5 linked regions of the Macaca fascicularis genome follow. The protein of the gene in region 2 interacts with the protein of the main gene of each other region in a pairwise test. Links are inferred from orthologs where the notes say so. Each region holds a gene or a part of one and is shown on either strand. Other genes may lie near its edges.

The links.
Region 1: the proteins of FATE1 (region 2) and SEC22C interact in binary tests that used the Homo sapiens proteins (3 or more experiments, as listed by UniProt). The two-hybrid records come from large-scale screens. The link is inferred for Macaca fascicularis from reciprocal best matches to the Homo sapiens genes FATE1 and SEC22C.
Region 3: the proteins of FATE1 (region 2) and TMEM11 interact in binary tests that used the Homo sapiens proteins (3 or more experiments, as listed by UniProt). The two-hybrid records come from large-scale screens. The link is inferred for Macaca fascicularis from reciprocal best matches to the Homo sapiens genes FATE1 and TMEM11.
Region 4: the proteins of FATE1 (region 2) and BNIP2 interact in binary tests that used the Homo sapiens proteins (3 or more experiments, as listed by UniProt). The two-hybrid records come from large-scale screens. The link is inferred for Macaca fascicularis from reciprocal best matches to the Homo sapiens genes FATE1 and BNIP2.
Region 5: the proteins of FATE1 (region 2) and RPRM interact in binary tests that used the Homo sapiens proteins (3 or more experiments, as listed by UniProt). The two-hybrid records come from large-scale screens. The link is inferred for Macaca fascicularis from reciprocal best matches to the Homo sapiens genes FATE1 and RPRM.

What each region holds. Positions count from the first base shown.
Region 1 is NC_088376.1:105,428,735-105,433,455, forward strand, and holds the start of SEC22C (vesicle-trafficking protein SEC22c), read right to left. Parts: upstream 2,941-4,721; 5' UTR 2,806-2,940; intron 2,612-2,805; exon of another isoform or gene 2,479-2,611; intron 1-2,478. UniProt on the Homo sapiens protein: May be involved in vesicle transport between the ER and the Golgi complex.
Region 2 is NC_088395.1:157,778,774-157,783,478, forward strand, and holds the start of FATE1 (fetal and adult testis-expressed transcript protein), read left to right. Parts: upstream 1-1,378; 5' UTR 1,379-2,348; coding exon 2,349-2,454; intron 2,455-3,496; coding exon 3,497-3,624; intron 3,625-4,705. UniProt on the Homo sapiens protein: Involved in the regulation of endoplasmic reticulum (ER)-mitochondria coupling. Negatively regulates the ER-mitochondria distance and Ca(2+) transfer from ER to mitochondria possibly implicating it in the regulation of apoptosis.
Region 3 is NC_088390.1:20,636,933-20,641,658, forward strand, and holds the start of TMEM11 (transmembrane protein 11, mitochondrial), read right to left. Parts: upstream 2,941-4,726; 5' UTR 2,932-2,940; coding exon 2,870-2,931; intron 46-2,869; exon of another isoform or gene 1-45. UniProt on the Homo sapiens protein: Plays a role in mitochondrial morphogenesis.
Region 4 is NC_088381.1:36,169,150-36,173,812, forward strand, and holds the start of BNIP2 (BCL2/adenovirus E1B 19 kDa protein-interacting protein 2), read right to left. Parts: upstream 2,941-4,663; 5' UTR 2,755-2,940; intron 1-2,754.
Region 5 is NC_088386.1:48,951,067-48,955,108, forward strand, and holds RPRM (protein reprimo), read right to left. Parts: upstream 2,122-4,042; 5' UTR 1,873-2,121; coding exon 1,543-1,872; 3' UTR 641-1,542; downstream 1-640. UniProt on the Homo sapiens protein: May be involved in the regulation of p53-dependent G2 arrest of the cell cycle. Seems to induce cell cycle arrest by inhibiting CDK1 activity and nuclear translocation of the CDC2 cyclin B1 complex.

The DNA of each region.
Region 1 (4,721 bases), on a different chromosome or scaffold from region 2:
AGGCCAAGGTGGGAGGACTGCTTGAGCCCAAGAATTTGAGACCAGCCTGGGCAACACAATGATACCCCATCTCTACAAAAAATTAAAAAAAAAAAAAAAAAAAGCCAGGCATGGTGGCACACACCTGTGGTCCCAGCTACTCGGGAATCTGAGGTGAGAGTCTTGAGCTCAAGAGGTCAAGGCTGTGTGAGCTGTGACTACATCACTGCACTCCAGCCTAGGCAACAAAGTGAGACCCTGTCTCAAAAAAAAAAAAAAAAAAAAAAAAGAAAAGAAAAGAAAAGAAAATCAACTCCACAAGGACAAAGGAAGCTTCAGAATGTTCACACAAAGAGACACTGGAATGTCTTCCAGATCTTAGCAGATCCTTCCACAAGGCAGTGGATGTCATAACCTACCACCTTGCCTGGGACATATTAGGAAGCACTCAGTAAACACTGCTAAGTAAATGAATGAATGACCTAAGGGCTACCTTATTTTTGCTCACTGAAACAAGAAATGCAGGTTTACAGATCCCTTGCCATAATTCTGATCTACAGCTCGAACACTTTTCCACAATAAATCTGTACTTGGAGAGAAAAAGAGAAAGGTTTATACAGATGACATTTGTCTAAAAGTAGAGTGAAGTAGTAATCACATACACAGCATCCGTGTTACTAGTTTTATAAAAATATATTTTAATTTGCCTCCCTTATTTCCTAAATCCTCTTCCGAGCATCTGTTTGTAAACTGCTCATGCCATAGATTATCTCTGGTCTATCAACAAAGACTTTGTGCCTATGCTGCAGGCTACCCTTGTTTCTGTTTTTTCTTCCACCTTTTACCCTTAACCCCTCCTCAAGCCCCTACCACATGCACTGAGAGAGGGAGAGGCTGAGAGAGAGAAACAGAAAGAAAGAGAGAAAGAGAGAGATGACTGCACCTTGCAAAACAGGAATTTAGACAAAACAGGGTTCATTTGGCACACAAATATTCAAACACAAAGTGTTCACCATAAAGTATATACAGAATACAGAAGACTCAAATACACAATACAGAAGACAAAACTGAGTTGTGTCACCCTTACTGAATTCACCTTCAACCACAGGACTTGAGAACTGGTTACCAAATTTGTAGATTCTATTAAGGCTCCAAGTTGCTTGGGGATGGAGTGAACAGGAGGGTAGAGGTCAGTTTTGTCATTTGTTAGGAACTGAGAAGGATAGGGAACTAAACTTGATAGGACCTTTTACACTGATAATGTTATTAAATGCTTGTAACTATAAGGTAGACATAATCTACACTGGCTAGGTGGGAAAACTACAGCTCTAAGGCTCAAGAGGTAGAGCCAGATTCAACCCACACTTCCTTACTTCAAATGTTCTAAAGCTGACGATCTTTCCACCACATCCTTCTTCTATAAATCCAACCTTGGGGATTACAGCTACTCCCTTTCTCTAAAATAATTTCTTCTCCTTAGAGCACTAATAAGCTAATCAGAGACCTGTTGGTAGACGAAGGAGCCTGAGATTACACTTGTTACAACTGCTCTTTATCCACTGTATTACCTTGAAGTCAGGTTGTCCTCTCTCTGACCATGTTACTTTTTGAATATAGTTGATTTCTAAGTTATTCTAAGAATGAAAAAACACTGAGACTCCAAGATGGCTTCTGTTGCAAGTGCAAACACTTAAATCAGAGCTATTAATAACATTATCCAAAATGTACTTTCCAGAAACTCTATTTGTTTATTTAATTCTATCTAGCAACGTTAAACCATTTCCAGTTGCTTCCATTTTTCATTTTACTAAAATTATCTTTAGCGGGATCAACTCTCCTCTGCAAAATGTAATTAAATATTATCCTCTATGTTGGTTCTGAGCTGTATTCTTTTCTGACCATGTCACAAATTTCACCAATTACTTTCCACACTGGCAAGTCTTTCGTGGCTTTGATTTCTACAAACCTAATTTTTCCCCAAGCACTTTATCCTTCTGGCTCTGGAGGTACATGTGTAAATCTGTAATGAACACAAAACCTGTAATGGAACGTCCTACACCCAGTGCTCTGAAAAGTTGGTTCAGTGTATCCAATATTTAAAGTCTTATAACACTGGCATGCTAAGGGAAGTTTGCTATTCAGATTAAACAATGCTCTGACGTGAGATTCGTGAATGGTTAAAGAAATAGTCGTCCCTTTCTCACTCCCCATCTCTTCCAACTGGGAGAAGCCCTCGGCGCCCATCTGTCAGCCCAGGGTTCCCGCAGGCGCGTGTCTTGGGTGGCCCCGGGGTCCAGGGAGAGGCTGGCGGGAGAAAGGGGACAGAGGACTCCAAGAAGCCCAGTGAAGCCCCGTGGGGAGCCCCATGGTCAAGGCCGGGCCTGAGGGCGGGGCTGGCCCTGGGCCGCCTCCACCTCTGGGCCCGCCCTGCGCCACACCCTAACCCGCCTGCTCTCGGCTAACGGGCCGCGGCACCCGCCTCCGCCCGTCAGCCCTCACCTCGCCCCGACGGCGGCCTTCGGAAGTCGGCGCCCGCCAGCTACCCGCCGCCTCCTCAGCAACCTTAGCCGACCGGGCTGCCCCGGCCCAGGTCACCGGCGGCCCAGGCGCAGGTAGGCGGTGGTGCGCGTGCGCGAGCCTTGAGCCCCCATTCGCTGCTGCTAAGCGACACCCGCACCCAAACCGACCAATCCCGGCGCGCCTCCACAGCCCCAGTCCCGGCGAAGGCGCGAAAGTAGTGGTTGTTAAAGGGCTGCGACCCAAACTGAGAGGGAGCGTGACCGGGGCGCGCGCCTCGCAACTTTCTTCCCACCTCTCGGCTCTCACCGCGGCAGTTTGAGGTCCAAGCCTGTAATTCTCACGTCCGGAGATAAGAAGGAGCCTTCGTGGTATAAGCTCGATTCCTGCCGGGGTAGCAACCGGACCGACGTCTGGAGGCGGGGAGGCTCCGCGTGACAGTGTGATACGCCCGGGGCGTGTGTTCTGCGGTCCGCGCGGCTGGGCGGGAGGCCCGAGATAGGCAAACCAAAGAGCACAACCTGCTGCCAGCCTGGATAGGGCGCCAAAGTCCGACCCAGGGGGACACACCCCAAGCTGGGGGCGGAGGCACCCACAAGTGGATGACGGGCTGGAAGGAGATTAGGTAGCAGAGTCCGTCCATTTATTCATTTAGCAAGTATTGAGCACCTGCTGTGTGCCAGGGCTTGTGGACAAAGCGAGGAATTCCTGACAGGAAAAACTATATTAAGAGAGGAGGGCAGGGTGAGAGCACCCTTCAAACAATCAAACACCTGTATAAATACAAATTGTTCTTCAGAGAGGAGCAGGGGTTTTGAGAGAATTTACAGAAGCTTCTAGGCTGGTGTTGGGAATCACAGGAGGCTAACTAGGCAAAGGGGAGAGGAAGTGTGTTTCAGATGGAGAGATCAGCATGTATATAAGGACTCTGTGGAAGGCAGCAGAGCTCCTTTGAGGGATGGAAAGAAACCCAGACAGGGGGTAATGGAAAGTTAGTGCTTAATAGATACAGAATTTCAGCTGGAGAAGATGAAACAGTTCTGGAAATGGTTAGTAGGGATGATCGCACAACAATGTGAATGTACCAAATGCCACAGATCTGCACACTTAAAAATGGTTATGTACATTTTACCAAAAAAGAAAAGAAACTCGGAGTTTAGAGAGTAAAGGAGTAGAGTGAGATCAACTAGAGCAAATAGAAGGAAGGGGCCAGACCATGTAGGATTTTATGGGCCATAGTGGAAAGTTTAGGACCATGGAACACTGATCAAAATTGCATTTTATAAAACTCACTTTGGCTGCTAAAGTGCAGATCAAAATGGAGAAATCTCAATAAAGCTATGGTGGGACTTGCCTGGGAGCCAGTGCAGTCATCTGAGCAAGAGAGAATGGAGCTGGAATGTGGACTGGTGTGAGACTAAAGAAAAAGAGATCTAAGCAGGCTGCAGAGAAATACAGGAGCAAAATCAATAGGACTTGGTGATGAGTTGGATGTGAAGGGGCGATGAAGTAGCTTCAAGGATGAGGCCACTGTTCAGCCATGGATAAATGGATGGATGGTGGAGGGATTCACAGATATGGAGAACACTGGAAGAGGAGATAAAATGGATCTTGAGCTCCATCTTAGACAAGTTGAATTTGAGGCACCTTTGAGACTTGGTTAGGATTTTGCAATGATTCATTTTAGATGTCAACCTGACTAGGTTAAAGGATACTCAGATTCCTGGGGGAACATTATTTCTGGGTATGTCTATGAGGGTGTTCCCAGGAGATATTGGCATTTGAATCAATGCACTGAGTAAGAAAGATCTGTCCTCATCCAATATGGGCAGGCACCATCTAATAGATAGAACAGAAAGGCAGAGGAAAGGCAAATTCTCTGTTCTGGAGTTGGGACACCCCTCTTCTGCTCTTGGCATCAGAACTCCAAGTTCCCCTAATCTCCTAACTCCAGGAGATTAGGTAGTAGAGTCCATCCATTTATTCACTTAGCAACTATTGAGCCTTTGGACTCCAAGACTTGTACCAGTGGTTCCCCAGGTTCTCCCGGCTTGGGCCTTGGACTGGGAGATACACCATTCAACTTCCCTGGTTCTGAGGCCAAGTCCAAGACAGGGTAGTCTTGAACTGAAGCACTCTACCAGCCTCCCTGGTTCTCCAGCTTGTAGATGGCCTATTGTGGGACTTCTCAGCCTCCATAACCATGTGAGCCAATTCCCCTAATA
Region 2 (4,705 bases):
GGGGAAGGCACGCTAAGGGGGTGAGATGTTGGGGTTTCTGAGTGGCCTTGGGGGTTCAGGGGTTGGGAAGGAATTCTCCCACCCTCTTTGCTTGGCTTTAGGTGGTGGATTCTTATGCCACCAGGGGGCAGTGCCTCCACATGCACCTGGACCCTGTGCTCCTGTGCCCAAGAAGCCCCACCAGGGTCAGTTGATAACTAGACAGAAATCTGGCCTCCATAGCCTGAGGCCCTGTGGCAAGCCAGTGCCTACACTACTGTAGCTTTGCTGACTTCTGAGTGCTCCTCACAATCCAGCCACCCTGTAGGGAGGCTTGTCCATGGTGGAGACTGACACCAAAAGAAGGGAGAAACTTGCTCGAGGTAAAATCTTGAGGTCATAGTGAGATAAGATTGTCAGATAGAATACAGGATATGCAGCTAAATTTCAATGTTAGATCAACCCATGAATCCTTTTTTTAGTGTAAATATGTCCCAAAGGTTAGTGTACAAGAGAGAATACTTACACTACAAATGTAGTATAAGTACAGATGTGTTGTTTATCTGAAATTTAAATGTACTTCGTATCTGTATTTTCATTTGCTCAATCTGGCAACCTTGGCTGGGCTTCCCAGGCTCCTGAATCCCACTAAGCTGAGCACACTCAGTAGTTTCTCTGCTCCCAAGGTGGCCCTCCAGAAAGCTCAAATTTCATCGCAGCTGCTCCACTAGATCTGGGAAGGGCTTCTTTGGGGCCCCCAGGAATGCAGGCAGGGCCTATATCAGCTCTGCTTCCCAAGAGCTCGGCCCCAGCGCTGGACAGGTGAGGTGGGGGCAGGGGACAGGCAGCCTCAGACCATGCTGCCCTATCTCAGCTAGTTCTGACCCCTTCCTTTGCACTCCCTCTCCTTCCTTCCTTCCTTCCTTCCTTCCTTCCTTCCTTCCTTCCTTCCTTCCTTCCTTCCTTCCTTCCTCTTTTCCTCCTTCCTTCTTTCCTTCCTTCCTTCCTCCCTTCCTCTTTTCCTTCCTTCCTTCCTTCCTTCCTTCCTTCCTTCCTTCCTTCCTTCCTTCCTTCCTCCCTTCCTCTTTTCCTCCTTCCTTCCTCCTCTTTATCCCACCTGACCCAAGGGCTCTGGGGGAAGAAGAGGCTATTTCTAAAAGGAACGTTTTATAAACCTGTCCTGATTCCTTTCACAAATAGCCTCCTATTCCCCCAGGGGCTCTGGGGTTGTTTCCTAGAATGAAGGGTTCACCACAGGTCGTGTAGCAATCAGTGTTTTCCAGAGAAACATAACTGATAGGATGTATATATGTATGTATGTATATATGTATATATCTGCATATGCACAAGTATATATACATTTATTTTAATAAATTGACTTATGCAATTGTGGGGCTGACAAGTCTGAAATGTGCAGGGCAGCCTGGCAGGCTGGCAACTCAAAGAAGAGTTGACACTGCAGTCCTGGGGTAGAATTACCTCTACTTTGGGAAACCTCAGTCTTTGCTCTTCAGGCCTCTCAGTTGATTGTGTGAGACCAACCCACATCATCGAGGATGTGTCTCTACTTTACTTCAAGTCCACTGGTTGTAGATGCCAACCACAGCTACAAAATGCCTCCACAGCAACACCTAGACTAGTGTTTGAAGGAGTCACTGGGGACTAGAACCTGGCCAGGTGACACATAAACCTGACCATCACAGTGGTCTAATCAGTAGGGAAACTGAGGGAGAATTGGGACTTAGAAGGTGCAAGGCCTGAGGCCCCTGGGAGTTCTAGTGGCTGCAGTCAGGTCCCACCTCTCTTACCCTTCTCTCCCTTTGTTCTCATGGCTCCTGCCTAGTCTGACCTACTTCAGAAAAAGGCTACCTCCCATGTCTGGGGACTCTGGATGGGGGAGGTAGGATATGCTCTCCAGAGAATCTCTTCTGAAGGTGTGGTATGGCCTGGATTGCTAGGACCTAACTCTGCTGTAGCCACTGCCTGGCTCTTGGACCCTGTGCCAATCCCTGTTTCTTCATAGAAATGATGGAGGGTAGACCCTACCCTTCCCCCCATGGGCTAAATATGGAGATTCATGAGCCAGAGCAGTTCTCACAGTCAAAGGCATGGAATTGTATCTCTTCTCCTAAGTTGCTTACAGAGTAGCAAGGAGAAGGCCACGGACCTAGCCAACAAGATACAATAGAAACAGAAAGTGCTGAGTCCAAGGCCTCAGCCTAGAGAGGGAGTCTTGCTCCACCCCCAGGTCTGACTATATCTTCCTTGAGCTCCTGTTCCAGGAAGAGGTGATTTTCTGAGTGTGACTCCTCTGTTCCTGGCACCCTGTACATCCTTAGCCATAGCTTACAAGTGAACAGCTGGTTGTGATGGCAGGAGGCCCTCCCAACACCAAGGCAGAGATGGAAATGTCCCTGACAGAAGAATTGAATCATGGACGCCAAGGGCAAAACCAAGAGCACCTGGTGATAGCGGGTGAGGATCCCCTAAAATACCCCTAGGCTACAGCCAACTGTGTAGATACATGTCTGTACCTGTGCATGTGTGTGTTGGGAAAGGTGCATGTGTGCATGGAAGTGTTTGCACATCTGTGTGTTGGGCGGGCTTTGAGGATTTGTGGGTTGATGGTAAGGGATCTAGGAGAAAAGGGATAGATGATGTGAGCATTTTGCCCTGGGAGGGAGGAGGATGGGAACAACATGTGTGGTCCCTCTGTCTTCCCCTTGTCCAAGCCACCACAGTGTCTGTTGCAAAATACTCAGAGGGCTCAAATTATGAGACCAGAGATCAATTCTCTCTCCCAACCCTCGAATTCATTTTCCTGCCATTTGGAGGAAAATCCAGACTCCATGATCTATAAGATTGTATCAGCCTCCTCAAAACATTTCATACTATGATATAGACAGAAAATACCATTTCTATAGCACACAAAGGGATCCAGATCACATTGCATTTATGTTTGTTCTTACAATGCTCCAAGCCTGCTTCTTCCCCAAAGACCTTGCATTTGCTGTTTCCTCTGTCTGGAATGCTCTTTCCCTCAATTTCCCAGGGCTGGGTCCTTTATTTTTTTCAGGTCCCTGCCTCAATTGTTGTCTCCTACTTTTCTAGAAGGAGCCCTTTCCTTCCACTATGTTACCCTGTTTTGATCATTTATGGAGCCTGCATCTCTCTGTCTGCATTTGCAAGGATAGACCTTCTGTTTTACACCTGTCATTCACTCTTATACACAAAACAGATGGTCAGTTCCTTGATAGCTGGAATCTTGTTCTTGGTCATTGCTCTCTAGATTACTGGAGAGTAACCTAGTCTCGAGCTGAGCCCTCAGGATTCTTGTTTAACTTTTGAACAGATGAACAAACTGAGACCTGGGATCAGCTGGTGGACAGTGGTTAATGGGTGCTGAGTGATTCCCAAGAAAGCTGGGGACTCTGTCTTCTTTTTGGTGTGTTTTGTGCCCAAGAAGCCCTGGTACAACTTCTATGGGTGCTCCTGGGGTCTCTGTTCTTCTCTCTAGAAATGATGGAGCATGGATCTCGGTCCCTGGGTGCCTCCCAGAAGAGGCAGAAGTTGGAACAAAAAGCTGCTGGCTCTGCTTCAGCGAAACGAGTTTGGAATATGACTGCCACCCGATCCAAGAAAATGGTACTGCATGGGGTCCTCAGCACATGTTGGCCAGGTTGGGGTTGGGAGTACTGGTTGTAGGGGCTGTAGCCTGACCAGGTCAGGCAGGGCTAGACATTGACTTGTGAGGAGGAGGAAGCTCCTGTATTCCAAGCTGGCAAATGAGGACAGAAAGGTCAGGGTCATCCTTTCCTATGCTTGGGATGCAACCTTGGGAGTTCAGAATGCCTGAAACAAATATTGCATGGGGAGTACATAAATATTTCACTCTGTAAATCCATTGTGTGAAATAACGCTTCCTGTATTTAAAATTGTGTGTGTGGTGCGTGTGTGTGTATACACACAATAACTCAGGTGAGGCTCCTACGCTTTCTGGCTGTTAAGAAATCCAGTCAAGTCGTCTGGCATGGTGGCTCATGCCTGTAATCTGAGCACTCTGGCAGGAAGAGGTGGACGGATCACTTGAGGCCAGGAGTTGGAGAACAGTCTGGCCAGCATGGTGAAACCTTGTCTCTACTAAAAATACAAAAATTAGCTGGGCATGGTGGCACATGCCTGTAATCACAGCTACTCAGGAGGCTGAGGCATGAGAATCGCTTGAACCTAGCAAGCAGAGGTTGCAGTGAGCTGAGATCATGCAACTGTACTCCAGTCTGGGCAACAGAGCAAGAGAAAGAAAGGAAGAGAGAGAGAGAGAGAGAGACAGAGAGACAGAGAGAGAGGGGGAGAGAGAGAGAGAGAGAGAGAGAGAAAAGAAGGAAGGAAGGAAAAGGAAAAGAAAGGAAAGAAAGAAAGAAAGAAAGAAAGAAAGAAAGAAAGAAAGAAAGAAAGAAAGAAAGAAAGAAAGAAAGAGAAAGAAAGAGAAAGAAAGAAAAAAGAAATCCAGGAAAGTGAATCTGACCATTTTGTAGCCAGTCCTTTTAAGCTACATTCGATATGGGTGAAGGAATGTTTTAGAATAAATAGTGGCTATACTGTTGCAAATGATATTGGGAAAACAGTCATTTTGGATGGGGAGGGAAGCCTGACTATTCTAGAGAATTAAGTGAGTCCCACAGTTCTGTAGCCAATCATTTTAGCTAGCTAAATTCACTGTGAGTAA
Region 3 (4,726 bases), on a different chromosome or scaffold from region 2:
ACAGCTCAGAGTCTGATGTTCTTCATTACAAACACTGTTGGTTCCCTAGATTTAATGGAGTGGAGAGAAAAATCAACATGCAAGCACTACCATTTTGCTATTTCCACCCCTCCTAATTTAGTCGAAACCAGCACTGTCCATATCGTAACTTTCTGCAGTGATGGAAATGTCCTCCACCTGTGCTATCCAATATGGTAGCCACGAGCCAGAAGTGGCTATTGAGCCTTTGAAATGTGGCTAGTGAGACTGAGGAGCTGAATTCTTCATTTTATTTCATTTTAATGAATTTAAATGTAATCGCCACATGTGGCTGGTGACTACTGAACTGCTGTGTTAATTCAGCACTAATTCTAGAGCTGTGGTTCTAGACTCAACAAGGTAAAGCAAGAACCCACATGCTACCACGCGCTAAGCTGGACCATCCAACACACAGCGCTGGCAGTAATACTGTGGGCAATCTGGCACTGGGTGAGGCCTTTAAGTACAGTGCGTGCTTCAGAGTTGGTAGCCGCTGGCAAATCTGGCAAGTTTGCCCAAAGCGTCGCTCTGTTCTAGCCCCTTGTCCAAACCAGACACTGTTTCCCTCAGCTTCAGCAAAAGCGGATGCTAACCAGGTGTGAGCAGCAACGGGAGAGAGCACTCGTACAATATGGAGCTGAGATTTGAGTCAGCACAAATGTGACATGGAACAAAGTCATTTAAGAGAGCCATAAACAGCCTACTTCAGTCATAAGAGCCAATAATACACTCAGATCTCCTAATCTAGGGTGCTGGGCCATCAGCTAATCCGCCCTGCCCCACCTGAACAGTCATCACCAACTGAGCAGGAATGGAGGGATGCCCAGAAGTCAGCTCGCTAGCCACACAGCGGGTTATGTTTCCATCCCCTGCTCAGCATGGAAAGAGCTTAGGGAAGCTGGGCTCGGGCAAATGACTTTTCCTACAGAACCTGGCTAGGGGTTTACAGCAAAAGCAAACAGAGAGGTAGTCTCCACCCACACCACATTATCTAGGAGAGTTGATGGTGACATCCAAACCACAAAACCAAATGCCACATTCCTGCTGACACACAACATCTGCGTGTATGAGTGGAGCCTTCAGTTCCAGGCCAAAGGTGCAACCTGAGACCAAGCAGGTAAATGCATTGAGTCAAGCTGTCAGGTGATTGAGTCAAGCTGTCAGGTGAGGAACCAAGAACTGGAGAGCACTGTCCTAACCAAAAAGAGTCAGCCACTACCCAGCTTTTCAGGGAGCGTTTTATGTGAAATCTGTTGGCAACTAATTTAAATTCTCTTAAAAACTGTTGAGGTTCAACAGTCAAGCACTGGCTCCAGCTGATGCACTGCTGATTTGCCAACTCCATTTTGAATAAATACTTGTCTCAAGCCAAAGCAAAAACAATTCTCAGGATCTATTTTCTTAGATCAATAAAAGCTTAACCTGTGCTGGCAAGGCTCCTGCTCCCTGCCTGAGGCATCCCTATAAGGCTCTTTTCAGTTGCTTTTAGTCCAACAAGAGGGCGAACGTTTCTAAAACTTTGTTTTCTAAACAGGTTATTTCCTATTACTGTTTGCATTGAATATCTTGAAAATGTTTGCTAGTTTTTAAGGGCATCTGAAAACCACTGAGGTAACTTATTTAAATGGTCCAATCTAAGAAATACCAGGCGGGAGTTAAAAAAACAAAAGTGTGTTTACCACTGCTTTTCCAAGGAAGAGGAAATGCAGAATGGGCGACGTTGGATAACTGGGCTCAAGAATAAAGTGCAAGCAAGCTAACGGACTCTATCACAACTGCCAAACAGGAAGAATCTTCCCAGCTGGGAAAGCCATCTGCAAGCAATAGCAATGAACACGGGATGGAATCAGTCATAGAAAAGGAATAATGCAGAGTAGTTGACAGGCAGAGAAATTTTCTGGTTAGACAATCTTCACCAAAGAGACGGGGAAAAAAACAACAACAGCAAAACCAAAACTTTCCTTTTTTGCTGACCGCTGCTGTTAACAATCAAGCTTTAGCGGATAGTTCATCCAGGTGGCTCCACCAATATACATCCTCTCCCAAAACTTCTAGCGGCTGAACAGCTTCTAGTGGCTTCCACTAGCTGAAACTGCTTCCCAGAAGCAAAAACTGCAACTTGAACATGTAACACGGAAACTACTCCAATCTCATCTTCTAGAAATCAGTTACTCAAATGGAGGTCTCTGTTGGAAGAAACACGCTCCTAGCTCCCTACCCACACACCATTCATTAGGAAAGGTCACTTTAATTGACTTCCACGGCAGGAGCGCTTGCACAGAACCATCCAAAAGTCTCCAGAATCGCCCCTCGAGGAAGTGGACGGCTCTGGGCCCGGAAGAGACACATGTGGTGGGAGCTAAAGCTCCCTGGTAAACGTGCAGATCAAACTACCCCTGCCGCGGCCAGCCTGCTCTGTGAAGGCTTCACCTTCTTTCTCTCTCCAGGGGCCCTGCCTTCCTCGCCACGTCGGGCGCCGCGGCCGAGATGGCCACGCGCGCGGCCAAGCGGGAAGGGTGCCGATCAGCCCGCGGCTAAGCGGGTCCCTGAGGCCTGCGCTGGGCGCCAGTTCCTCTCCGCACGGCCCGGCCTCGAGCCCCACCCCGCATGACCGCTGCCCACCTTACCCAGCCCGGCTAACGCCCCTTCCCCTAAGCTCTCCGCCGAAGCCTTCGACCTCGCTCCTACCCGGATCCCGGATCCTCCGGAACTGGAACCCCGTATGCCAGGCGGGGGTCGGGGGAGCCCGGGGATACCAGGGCAGGAAGGCTGCTGCAGCCCCCGGAGGCCGCGCTGGGCTCTCCGGCCCCTGAGCCGCCTGCACCGTGGGCAACAAGCCCTTGGATCTCACCTCTCTCGGGCGCTGCCGCCACTGCTGCCCGGGCCAAGACGCCTCCTTCCCCAAGCGGCCATCTTGGAGACACTCCGCTTGCCAACGTCTCGCGCCAAGGCGGCATCGGGAGAGCAGGCGGGCCGACGGGAAGTGTAGTCCGGCCCGCTGTCCCGGGACGCTCGGCAGGCGGAAGCCGGGCCTGGCGGAACTACCGCGCCCACAAGGCAGCGCGCCAGAAGCCCCGCCCCCGGGGTCGCCGGGTCCCGTAGTCCTTCTGCGAGGGCGCGAGGACCCCCAGGAGCAGTCCTGGTTCAGACATTTTTGAAGAAACTGAGTTCCCGGTGTTCGCAGCCTGGGAGTCACAGGCGCCCACCCACCGGTAGGTCCTTGGGTTTCGAGAGCCAGCCAGCTGAAGGAGAGAGAAGAGGAAAGTGCCTACAACTCCCAGAGCACCGCGCGTAGGCGCCCGGCGCCGCCGTCCCGGCCCGCCAGGCCGCGTCTCCTGCCGGGGACCGCCGCGCTGTTTGCGGGCCTCTAGCGCCCGGCCCCTCCGCGTCGCCCCGCCTGCTCTTCACAGCCTTGGCCCATAAGGTCACCGAGGGGCGGGAGACGCCGCCCGGGTCCTCCTCGGAGTCAGGCGCTGCTCCCGCACCATCCCCCGCCCAATTCAGGCTCCGGGGTACTTTGGGGAGGCCGAGACAGACACGCTGTCCCGGCTGCCACGGAGGTCCCTGCTTGCAGGTGCAGGCTGTTAGAGGAGAGGGTCTGAACGCAAGGAAGGGGAATAGCTGTATGATAACTGCTTGAAGGAGAGAGGGCCCTGCGACAGCGACAGCCCTGTTTCAGACAGGGCCTCCAGGCCTCAGACTCAGTCCCTGCCACGCACCCACTCTTGTCCTGTCCGCTGCGACGGCATAATCTCGGGATCTTTTTTTTTTTGAGACGGAGTCTTGCTCTGTGCCCCAGGCTGGAGTGCAGTGGCCCGATCTCGGCTCACTGCAAGCTCCGCCCCCCCGGGTTCACGCCATTCTCCTGCCTCAGCCTCCCGAGTAGCTGGGACTACAGGCGCCCGCCACCTCGCCCGGCTAATTTTCTTGTATTTTTAGTAGAGACGGGGTTTCACCGTGTTAGCCAGGATGGTCTCGATCTCCTGACCTCGTGATCCGCCCGTCTCGGCCTCCCAAAGTGCTGGGATTACAGGCTTGAGCCACCGCGCCCGGCCAATCTCGGGATCTTTGAAAGCAGATGCGGGGCTAAACCATCCCACCTGACGGGAACCCTGCCCCAGGACCTGACATCTCCTTGTCTGGACACTGCTGTAACGAGTCAGTCAGGAAGGACTAACTGGAACCCAGAGATTCCCAGGTGCTGCTGCCTCAGACCTGTGGACTCTTTGGGGGATCTCTTACAGTTTGTAAACTTCTCAGTTCCTCTACTGCTCCCACACACAACGTTGCTAAACATATTAGTTGGCCCCATAAATACTTGAGCAAAACAAATGCAAAAATCTGCCCCAAATTCAGCCTAGAAGAAGTCCAGCCCGGCGTGTCACACTTCCGGGTAGTGGAACCCCCGTCCCCACCCACCGCAGGCCACAGCAGGACGGCCAGCAGACGGAAAGGCGACCCTCTCATTGTTGAGGATTCCTTTCGATTTCTTTACAGCTCACATTCTACCACAGTTTTAGCTGCTTACAATCCTCTCACCGTTCCTCATCACTTATAGTGTGTGATTCAAACTCCTTAGCACAATCAAGAAACACCCCCCCCCCCGCCCCTAGACCGGGCGCGGTGGCTCTCTGTAATCCCAGCACTTTGGGAGGCCGAGGCGGGCGGATCACGAGGTCAGGAGATCGAGACCATCCTGGCTAACACG
Region 4 (4,663 bases), on a different chromosome or scaffold from region 2:
TCAAGCCTAGCTGGGCCACATAGTGAGATCTGTCTCTACAATGTTTTTTTTAAGATCACATTAGAACTGTTTAATTATAACACAATTATATGTGGTGATTTTACTATACATACTTTAACACTGCTGCTGCAATAGGTGCCAGTAACAACCGTTTATGCTGAAATCAATTACAGTAGGCATATGGAAATGCCCAGGCAAGCCTTTCACTTCCCCATTTAAACAAAAAGGTTTCATCCTAAACACTCATGTTCACTTTTTAACGAACAGCCTGTACGTTTAGATCACCAAACATCCTTGAAAAAATCCTAGATCTGTGCTTCTCATTGCTCCCTTGAGGGTATATAGTTTTTAAACAATGAAATGAGATGCTCTATCAGAAATGTTAACACAAGTCGGGCGTGGTGGCCCACACCTGTAATCCCAACACTTTGGGAGCCTGAGGCGGACGGATCACCTGACGTCAGGAGTTCAAGACCAGCCTGGCCAACATGGTGAAACCCCATCTCTACTAAAAATACAAAAATTAGCCGGGAGTGGTGGCACTGGCCTGTAATCCCAGTGATCAGGGAGGCTGAGGCAGGAGAATCGCTTGAACCTGGGAGGCAAAGGTTGCAGTGAGCGGGGATCGTGCCATTGCATTCCAGCCTGGGCGACACAGCAAGAGCGCATCTCAAAAAAACTAAATAAAATAAAATAAACGTTAACACAAAATTTAGAGGAAAAACTAGAATGGTGCTGACTTCTCTCAAAATTGTGAAAATATGGCAAAAGATGATTGTGCCACCTACAAAAGTTACATTTATTATCACTATGCAGAACATACTGAAAACGCTGCGACCTTTAAAAAGATAAAGTCTACTAACTGATGTCTCAGTTTGTTGTAGTTAGAAATATCAGTTGCAATAAAAAACTATAATTGTGGAATATTACTGTCACATTATACTAGTATTCTGCTTTATAAGATGTAAACATAACATGACATCTTTTTTTTTTGAGACGAAGTCACACTCTGTTGCCCAGGCTGGAGTGCAGTGCTGCAATCTCGGCTCACTGCGGCCTCCGTCTCCTGGGTTCAAGCGATTCTTGTACTTCTGTCTCCCGAGTAGCTGGGATTGCAGGCATATGCGACCATGCCTGGCTAATTTTTGTATTTTTAGTAGAGACGGTGTTTCATCACATTGGCCAAGCTTGTCTCATCTCATTGCTTTATCATTTTTTGCTCTTGACCTCAGGTGATCTGCCCACCTTGGCCACCCAAAGTAACAAGACATCTTTTATCTACTATCAGCCCTGTAACTTACTAGATCTGGTTACATATACTTTCTCTGACGCCTTTCTCCCTATTGCTCCTTCTACCAGCATTACTCCAGACAGAATGAACAGAACTTTTCCAGAGTGCTTTCCACATGTACTAACCACTTTCACGTCCATCATCTCATATTCCAACCAGCAACTTTGGGATGCATGACACTTGTGTTATCATCATTGTATCTTATATATGAGGCAATGACACGACATCTTGGTCTCCATATCTAGTCCAGAACTGTTTCTAATATAGCACACCGTCAGCAGTGCACTGGCAACTGTATACAGAATAAGCCTGTCATGCCTGATTTGGTTGCACTTAGCTTCAAAGGTCTTGTAGTGCCTGAAGGCCATAATAGCACTGACTTACGATAATCTAGTTCAAGTTCCGTTTGCAGAAGTGGATCTGTCATACTTCCTGTCTGAGCCCAACAGTGTTGGGCTGCACTAGAGATTACGAAGACTAGGAAAAGAGTTTAGAAAAAATATAAAACAACAAGAACTAAGAATATGTGCAAAATGATGAAAAACTAGTCTGCAGGGGTAACTTAACTGAGTAACATCAGTTGTAATTTTGAGGAAACAGCGATTTACAAATTACGGAATTTGTTTCTACAACTGCAGAGATTCCTATAAACTATTAGAAAAACTACATTTAATTGAAAATAAGAAATCAGGTGTTAGGTGAAATAGAGATCCTAATCAAGAGAAGCTGCGAATGAAAAAAGCAACACTAAAATGCAATCACATAGTTTATTCAACTAAATAAATAGGAGGCACTGTGACTATCTTGACGAACACCGCAAAAGCTGTGCCCTCAAAGAGCTCACAGGACACACAGACAAGTAACTCCAGAGACATGAGATGCATCCAGAAATCCAAACCATTTTGCCAGGTATTTAAACAGAAAAGGTAGTGTCTAGATTCACGCGGGGACTCGGCTTTTGACGTACACACTCTGTATTTGGTTGAGCGTACTCGGGAAGATCTATTAAAGCCCTGATTACTTATGCTGCTTCCGTGTCTATTCCCCGAGGTTACGAGGCATACCAGAGGTCCAAGTTTCTTTGTTCTGCACCAGGACGGACGCTGGTCATAAATACTGAACCATCGTAGCCCCGCAACTTCACCCACACCAGGGTAAAAAAGGAGTGGAGGAAGGGCAAGGTTCCATCCCGAGCACAACTACCAGAAACGGAAAAGGGGTGGGGTGGGGGGCCAAACTGCCAAATACAAACAGGACCCGAGCCAAGGGCGGGGACCTAAACTGGGCGGAGATCCAGGAAGCGCCTTCCGAGCAGGTTCTATGGCTCCCCCCTACCAAGGATAACTCTCTGGGTTTCCTCTCCGCGGACGTCGTGGGCACGCGCCCGACAGACTTGCGCCCCTAGGCCGGTTCCCAGTCCAGCTACGGAGCCACGGTGCCAAGTCCTCCCAGGCCGCACTCACCCCGGAGGAAGCCTTGGCCCCCTCGTCCTCTTCGCCCCTCCAGGCCGGCGACGTGGGGCTGACGGCCAGGTCGTAAAAAGCAGCGCCGAGCGGAGCCCGCTCCCCTCGCTCGGCGGTGGAGACCCCAGCCCAATCCCTCGGCCGCAGCGGCACGGCGGCGGCGGCAACAGCTGACCCGGACGCAGTGAGAGGCCCCGGCGGAAGTGATAACATCCCGGCCTCCTCCGGGAGCGGCAGCCGGAGGCGTGGTGGCGGCGGAGGCGTGGCGTCTTCTTGAAACCCACACGGCATATCCCCACCCGCTCAGACGCCACGAGCTAGCGCTCTCGCTTGCCCGCCAGGGGTGGGCCTTCCTTGCCTCTGGGCGGAACCGTCGCGGCGACTCCTTATTGGTGGCGTTACTGCGCCTCAAGGCGTTTCTTCAGTCTTTGCTGTCCGCAGGGACGCTGTCCAGTAGTCTCAGTTATTTTTGTTTTCTTTCTGCCTGTCTTTATTGATCATTACAGTAGGTGAAATTATGGATATCAATAATAATATTGTAATGCAATAGGTGCAATTATCAATATCAATATTATTACAACAGGTGCAATTATCAGTATCATTACGATAGGTGCAATTATCAACGTTCAATAATAATGTGAATTGTGAAGTGGATGAAATAAGGGGAGGAGGCCGGGCGCGGTGGCTTATGCCTGTAATCCCAGCACTTCGGGAGGGCGAGGCGCGTGGATTACCGGAGGTCAAGAGTTCGAGACCAGCCTGGCCTACTTGGTGATCCCTCGTCTCTACCAAACGTACAAAAACTAGCTGGGCGTGGTGGCGCGCATCTGTAATCCCAACTACTGAAGAGACGGAGGCGGAGTTTGCAGTGAGCCGATATCGTGCCATTGCACTCCAGCTTGGACAACAGAGCAAAAACTCCGTCTCAAAAAAAGGAAAAAGGGGGAAAAAATGAAAAGAGAAAAGAAATAAAGGGAGGAAAAATATCCGAGGCCTCATTTTGGGGAGCTAGGCCTCAAAAGTGACCTTGGAGTTTGGTAATATTTGCGTGTGAACAGCTTCATAGCAGTGCTTCTCTTCACTGGGGGAACGGTCCGTTTATTTTGTAAAAATTTTCGATTAGTTGTTGACCACAAGTTGATAAAACAGAAAAATGAAAAGGCATACAAAGTCCAAGTCAAAACTTTTTATCGTTAGAGTTAACAGCCATAAAATTACCTGCAAAATTGCCATAGAGTTTTCTACTGTCTCTCTGCAGACAATTTACAAACAGTTCTCAAAAGAGCCAGGTCTATAGACCATGGTTAGAGTACTCAAGGTAAACTACTCAAATTAGACTATACTCAGCTGTACAGTTTCAACCAAATGAGATTTGTTTGGAGAACATCATAGTCTCTCTCAGCTGGGCGTGCCTCTAATCCCAGCACTTTGAGAGGCCGAGTCGGGTAGATGGCTAGACCTCAGGGCAACATGGCAAGACCCCATCTCTTTAAAAAAAAAAAAAAAAGAGAGAGAGAGAAAGGAAAGGGAGAGAGAAAGAAAGGAAAGAGAGAGAGAAAGAAAAGAAAAACTAAGTAGACTTGGTGGCATGCACCTGTGGTCCCAGCTACTTGGGAGGCTGGGGTGGGAGAATCGCTTGAGCCTGGCAGGCAGCAGATGTAGTGAGCCAAGATCACGCCACTGCACTCCAGCCTGGGTGACAGAGCGAGACCCTGTCTTTAAAAAAAAAAAAAAAAAAAATCCCTTTCCAAAGTTTCATCTGATAAATCCATAGAAAGCCTCAGCAGTCAAGTGTTTGGGTGATTCCATTAGGGAACGATCAGGCCTGAAGGAAACAGAAAAGCTCAAAAATTTAAATCATTGACTAAAAATGCAGCAGTCTGCCTGGATTTCGCATTGCTTTGGCAAC
Region 5 (4,042 bases), on a different chromosome or scaffold from region 2:
TCTAAATTACAAAGAACAGGCTGAACCTTTATTTTAACCTGGTCTTTTTTTGCCAGAAAAAGTAATATAGCAACGACAGTAATGCATCTCATGTTTTAGTAACAATGGTTTACCCCAGGGAGCATTAACGTCACTGTGTACCTTAGCAGCTACTTTTCCTTGCATTTTATAATTCCCCTTCCCCCGGCCCCGCCCGTGGGCAGCATCCCAAAGCCGCCTCGCTGACGTTGGTTAGGGTAGAGACGCTCTCCGTAAAGGCTGTCCAAGCCTTCTCTTCCTTTCATTAGCGGTGTAATCCTGTGTTCCCGCCGGAGCCTGGCACGGAAGTGTAATCTTCCCGCGGGGGCCCTCCTGTAGTCTCGCTTATCTGAGAGCTGAGACTAAATGAAATATAAAATATTCACGATAAGAGGAAACAAAGGATGCTACCTCCAGGACGGCTACTGTGCCTGAGGCTGGGCTCTGTCTCAGTCATCCCAGGGCCTCTCCGTCTGGCCCCACCCTCGCCCCTCCATGGGATCCACAAGTTGAATCGCAGCTCTCTAGGGTGAATTTCCCTGGCCGGGAGCCAGACTCTGCACCGCCGCCCCGTTCCCCCACTGCTGGGGAGCGCAGAATGACCACCAGGAGGCCAGGAACAAAACGCTTAAATGTTGCATTTATTAAGGAAATGTTAAATAAGAAAAAAAAACAAAAAGTCAAAACGGTGTCACGGATGTCAAGAGCACTTTTGTGGCGTAAACCGTGCAGTCACGAGCTACGAGTTCTATTCTGGGTCTTTGTATCAGGGCCAGCAGGAACGCTAGACACCTCCCAAAAGACCCAGTGGGAAATGCACTAAAAGAAACAACTCACCCCCCTCAAAGTCGCAGGCTCCCCTCCCCCCACCCCTTCTCCCACAACGACAAAACTTTAACCCCTCAGGCAGGCAAACAGGCCACTGGGGCAGAAAAAGACTTATCAAATATTTGTATTCAAGCAAACAAACACAAAACCTCTTAAAACAGCACGTTACAATCAAAGGTATTTATCGCCTCTCCCCTCCAGGGCTGGTGGGGAGCAGGAGAAGAGTGGGAGCACACCCGGACACGGATTTGTGAGACCCCATGATGTCTGCTGCGTGGCTTTTAACAGGTCACTTTTCCGGTCACAAGGCGATCAGTGCCGCTGGGTCTCTCCCCTGCCCTCCCTCTCCACTTGCCCCCAGAGCTTGGCCCACCTGCGGGTGGAGAAGGGCCTTCGCCCCGTCGTTCTCCCCGCATTCCAAGTAAGTAGCAGCTTCCAAAGTTCTGCGCCCTAATCGCCTTCTTCTTGCCACTTTCTGCTGAGTCCAGAAGTCCGGGCGCTCTCCTCCGACTGCCAGGCATGAGGACTTTCAGAGGGCGAGGGAGAAACCGGTCGCTTCTTTCCGGAAGGCCGAAGTCGAGAGAAATAATTGACTCCGACAGGTTTGCTTCGCCCAGTCTCTGACAGTGAGGGGCACAGCCGGGCTGGCAAAGTGGGCAGGCGTGGGAGCGGTTGCCGCGGGGGCGGAGGGGCGGGTCAGTAGGGCCCCACGACCACTGCCTCCACCTCCTTAGACGGTCTCCGGTCCTTCACGAGGAAGTTGATCATGCCCTCGGACTTGATCAGCAGATTGCAGCCGAGGAAGAAGATGCCGAAGACCACGGTGAGTGAGAGCACGCACATAACGGCGATCTGCACCACGCGCATTATGTACAGGCTGCGCTCGTCCGGGCCTCCCTCCGCGAAGCCGTCGTCGGTCACCACGGACGCCTGGGTGCAGCAGCGCACGGCTCGCTCCAGCGCCTCGCTGCTGTTAGCCAGGAACAGGCCCGCCACGTCGGTCTGGTTGCCCAGGGCCGGATTCATCGCAGGAGCGGGCGGGCGCCGCGAGCGGCGCGGGTCCGAGGGGTGGGAAGGCGGCGGCGCTGGAGGAACAGGTGCCGAGCTGAGCGCTCACTCGCAGACTAGCGCTTGCAAGGGCTCCTAGCTCTGCTTTCGAAAGTCCCTGGGCCGTGGGAGTTTCCCAGGAGCCTCTCCGACGCGCGCAGCAGCTAGGCTCTTCTAAAGCCGTCCGCTCCAGCCCGGGCGGTGCTCGTTCCCGGCGCTCGCTCGACTGGGGGCTGTTGGAACTTGGTGGGGCTGGACCAGCCCGGCCGTGGGAGGTGCGGGCAGCGGCGGCTGCAGCGGCGGGGCGGCTGCACTGAGTAAACAGCGGCCCCTTCCGGCCGCACCGCCGCGCTGCGCGCTACTCTTGGGCGGTGGAGGAAGCAAAGGGGCGAACCTGGTCTTGCTTTTTATTGCTTTCTTCTTTTGCAAACTCCAAAGGCCAGGCAGAGGTCATCGTACTCTTCTAGCTTGATGGATGATTAAAAGAGTTTGGCGGGGGAGGGTGCGGTCAGCTGAAAGTTTCAGAGGAACTGGGACACACGAGCTCTGCGTGTCCTCTGCCGGCTGCCCCCCTGACCTCTGGGCTGATGGAAAGTGGCGATGAATCCCAGGTGCCAGATGGTGCCAGCTGAGGCCACCCGCCCACCGCCTGTGCTTGACTCCGTCTCGCCTGCGTTGGATTTCTGGTGGAGTGGAGGTGATCTGAGAATGTTTCTTACAAAGTAATGAATTTGGAAAGACAGAAAGGCATGGAAGAAGGAAGGAAGGAAGGAAAGAAAGAAAAAAGGAAGGGAGGGAGAAAAAAGAGCTCTACACTCAACTTCCTTTACAAAAGCGATTGGGAGACAGAGCAAGGCAGATTTTATCATGAGGTGTGAGGCCAAGGAAAGGGGGTTAGAGGAAGGAGGAGTTCTTCTGTGGCCCTTGGGTGGAGGTGGTTGCCGGGAGCAGGGGTCACCTCTCTGGTAAAGGAAGTGAACACAGTGACCACTTGCTTGTAATTTTAATTGCAGATGAATTTTTGGATGTGCTTCCAGCATTTTGTCCATTGGCAGTAAATCAGTTGTTTAAAGGAATTGCTCATCAACATCCATCACCTAAAACGCTGGCCAAATGCTGGGAGCCCTCCCCATTTTCCATAAGCTGATGCGTTTCACCCTTAGTCATTTAAACTAAACACAGATGTTTGTATGGGCCTGATTGACGCTTCAGCCATTGTGATTTTGCCGTAGGTTCCAATGAAATTTTATAAACCTATAGATTAAGTTTCTTAACTCTGAAAGAATACTGCATGATCCCGCGCCCCCTTTTCTATTTTCTTTTCCCTCCCTCCTTTTCCCCATTACTCCCTGCCTTCCTCCCTCTTTCTTTCAGCTGTAACAGCTGGAAACCAGTAACTTGAGCTTTCAACAGAATACATTTATTTTCTATTAAATGTTCTCACCACAAAGAACTGATAAAAATTCGAGATAATGGGTACGCTAATTACTCTGATATGATCATTCCACAATGTATATGTGTATCAAAATATCACTTTGTACCTCATAAATATGTACAATTGTTTGTCAATTAAAAATAAAATAAAACTGAAAAGCAGCTATCTTGCCATTTTCAACTCTAAATTTCATTCTGTTTGCTTGGTAAATCCTCTTATTTCTGTTTCTTAAAACGTTATTTATTCCATCTTCAGAGTGTTCCTTAAATGTTTTTGCACTGCTTCATGACTATAATAAAATAGAATGAAATGCCTTCTGGTTGAGTTTTCAATTTTTTGATGTTTATTGTATATCAGCTGCAATAAGTTTGATTTTTTAGAATAGCTATTGTTATTTTGAGGGGGGTGTTTAACAGCTGAAAACTCAGGCTTGGGCTTCTACCACAATTCACTGGCTTATTGTTCTAGTTTCCCATAATTTAATTAGAACTGAAGAATGCTTCACTCTCAACAATTTCTTCTTTGAACAAATTTATTAATAATTGATCAGTAAGAATTTACTTAAATCTCATCATACATTCAGTCTATCTTAGTTAATGTGGGAAGTCCTTAAGAATAAAAAAACATAATGTATACATGGAAAATATTACAACAAACTTAAGGCAATATAACGTAATCCTGAAATGAATGTAATAGAAATTTAGAAAAGTAAAA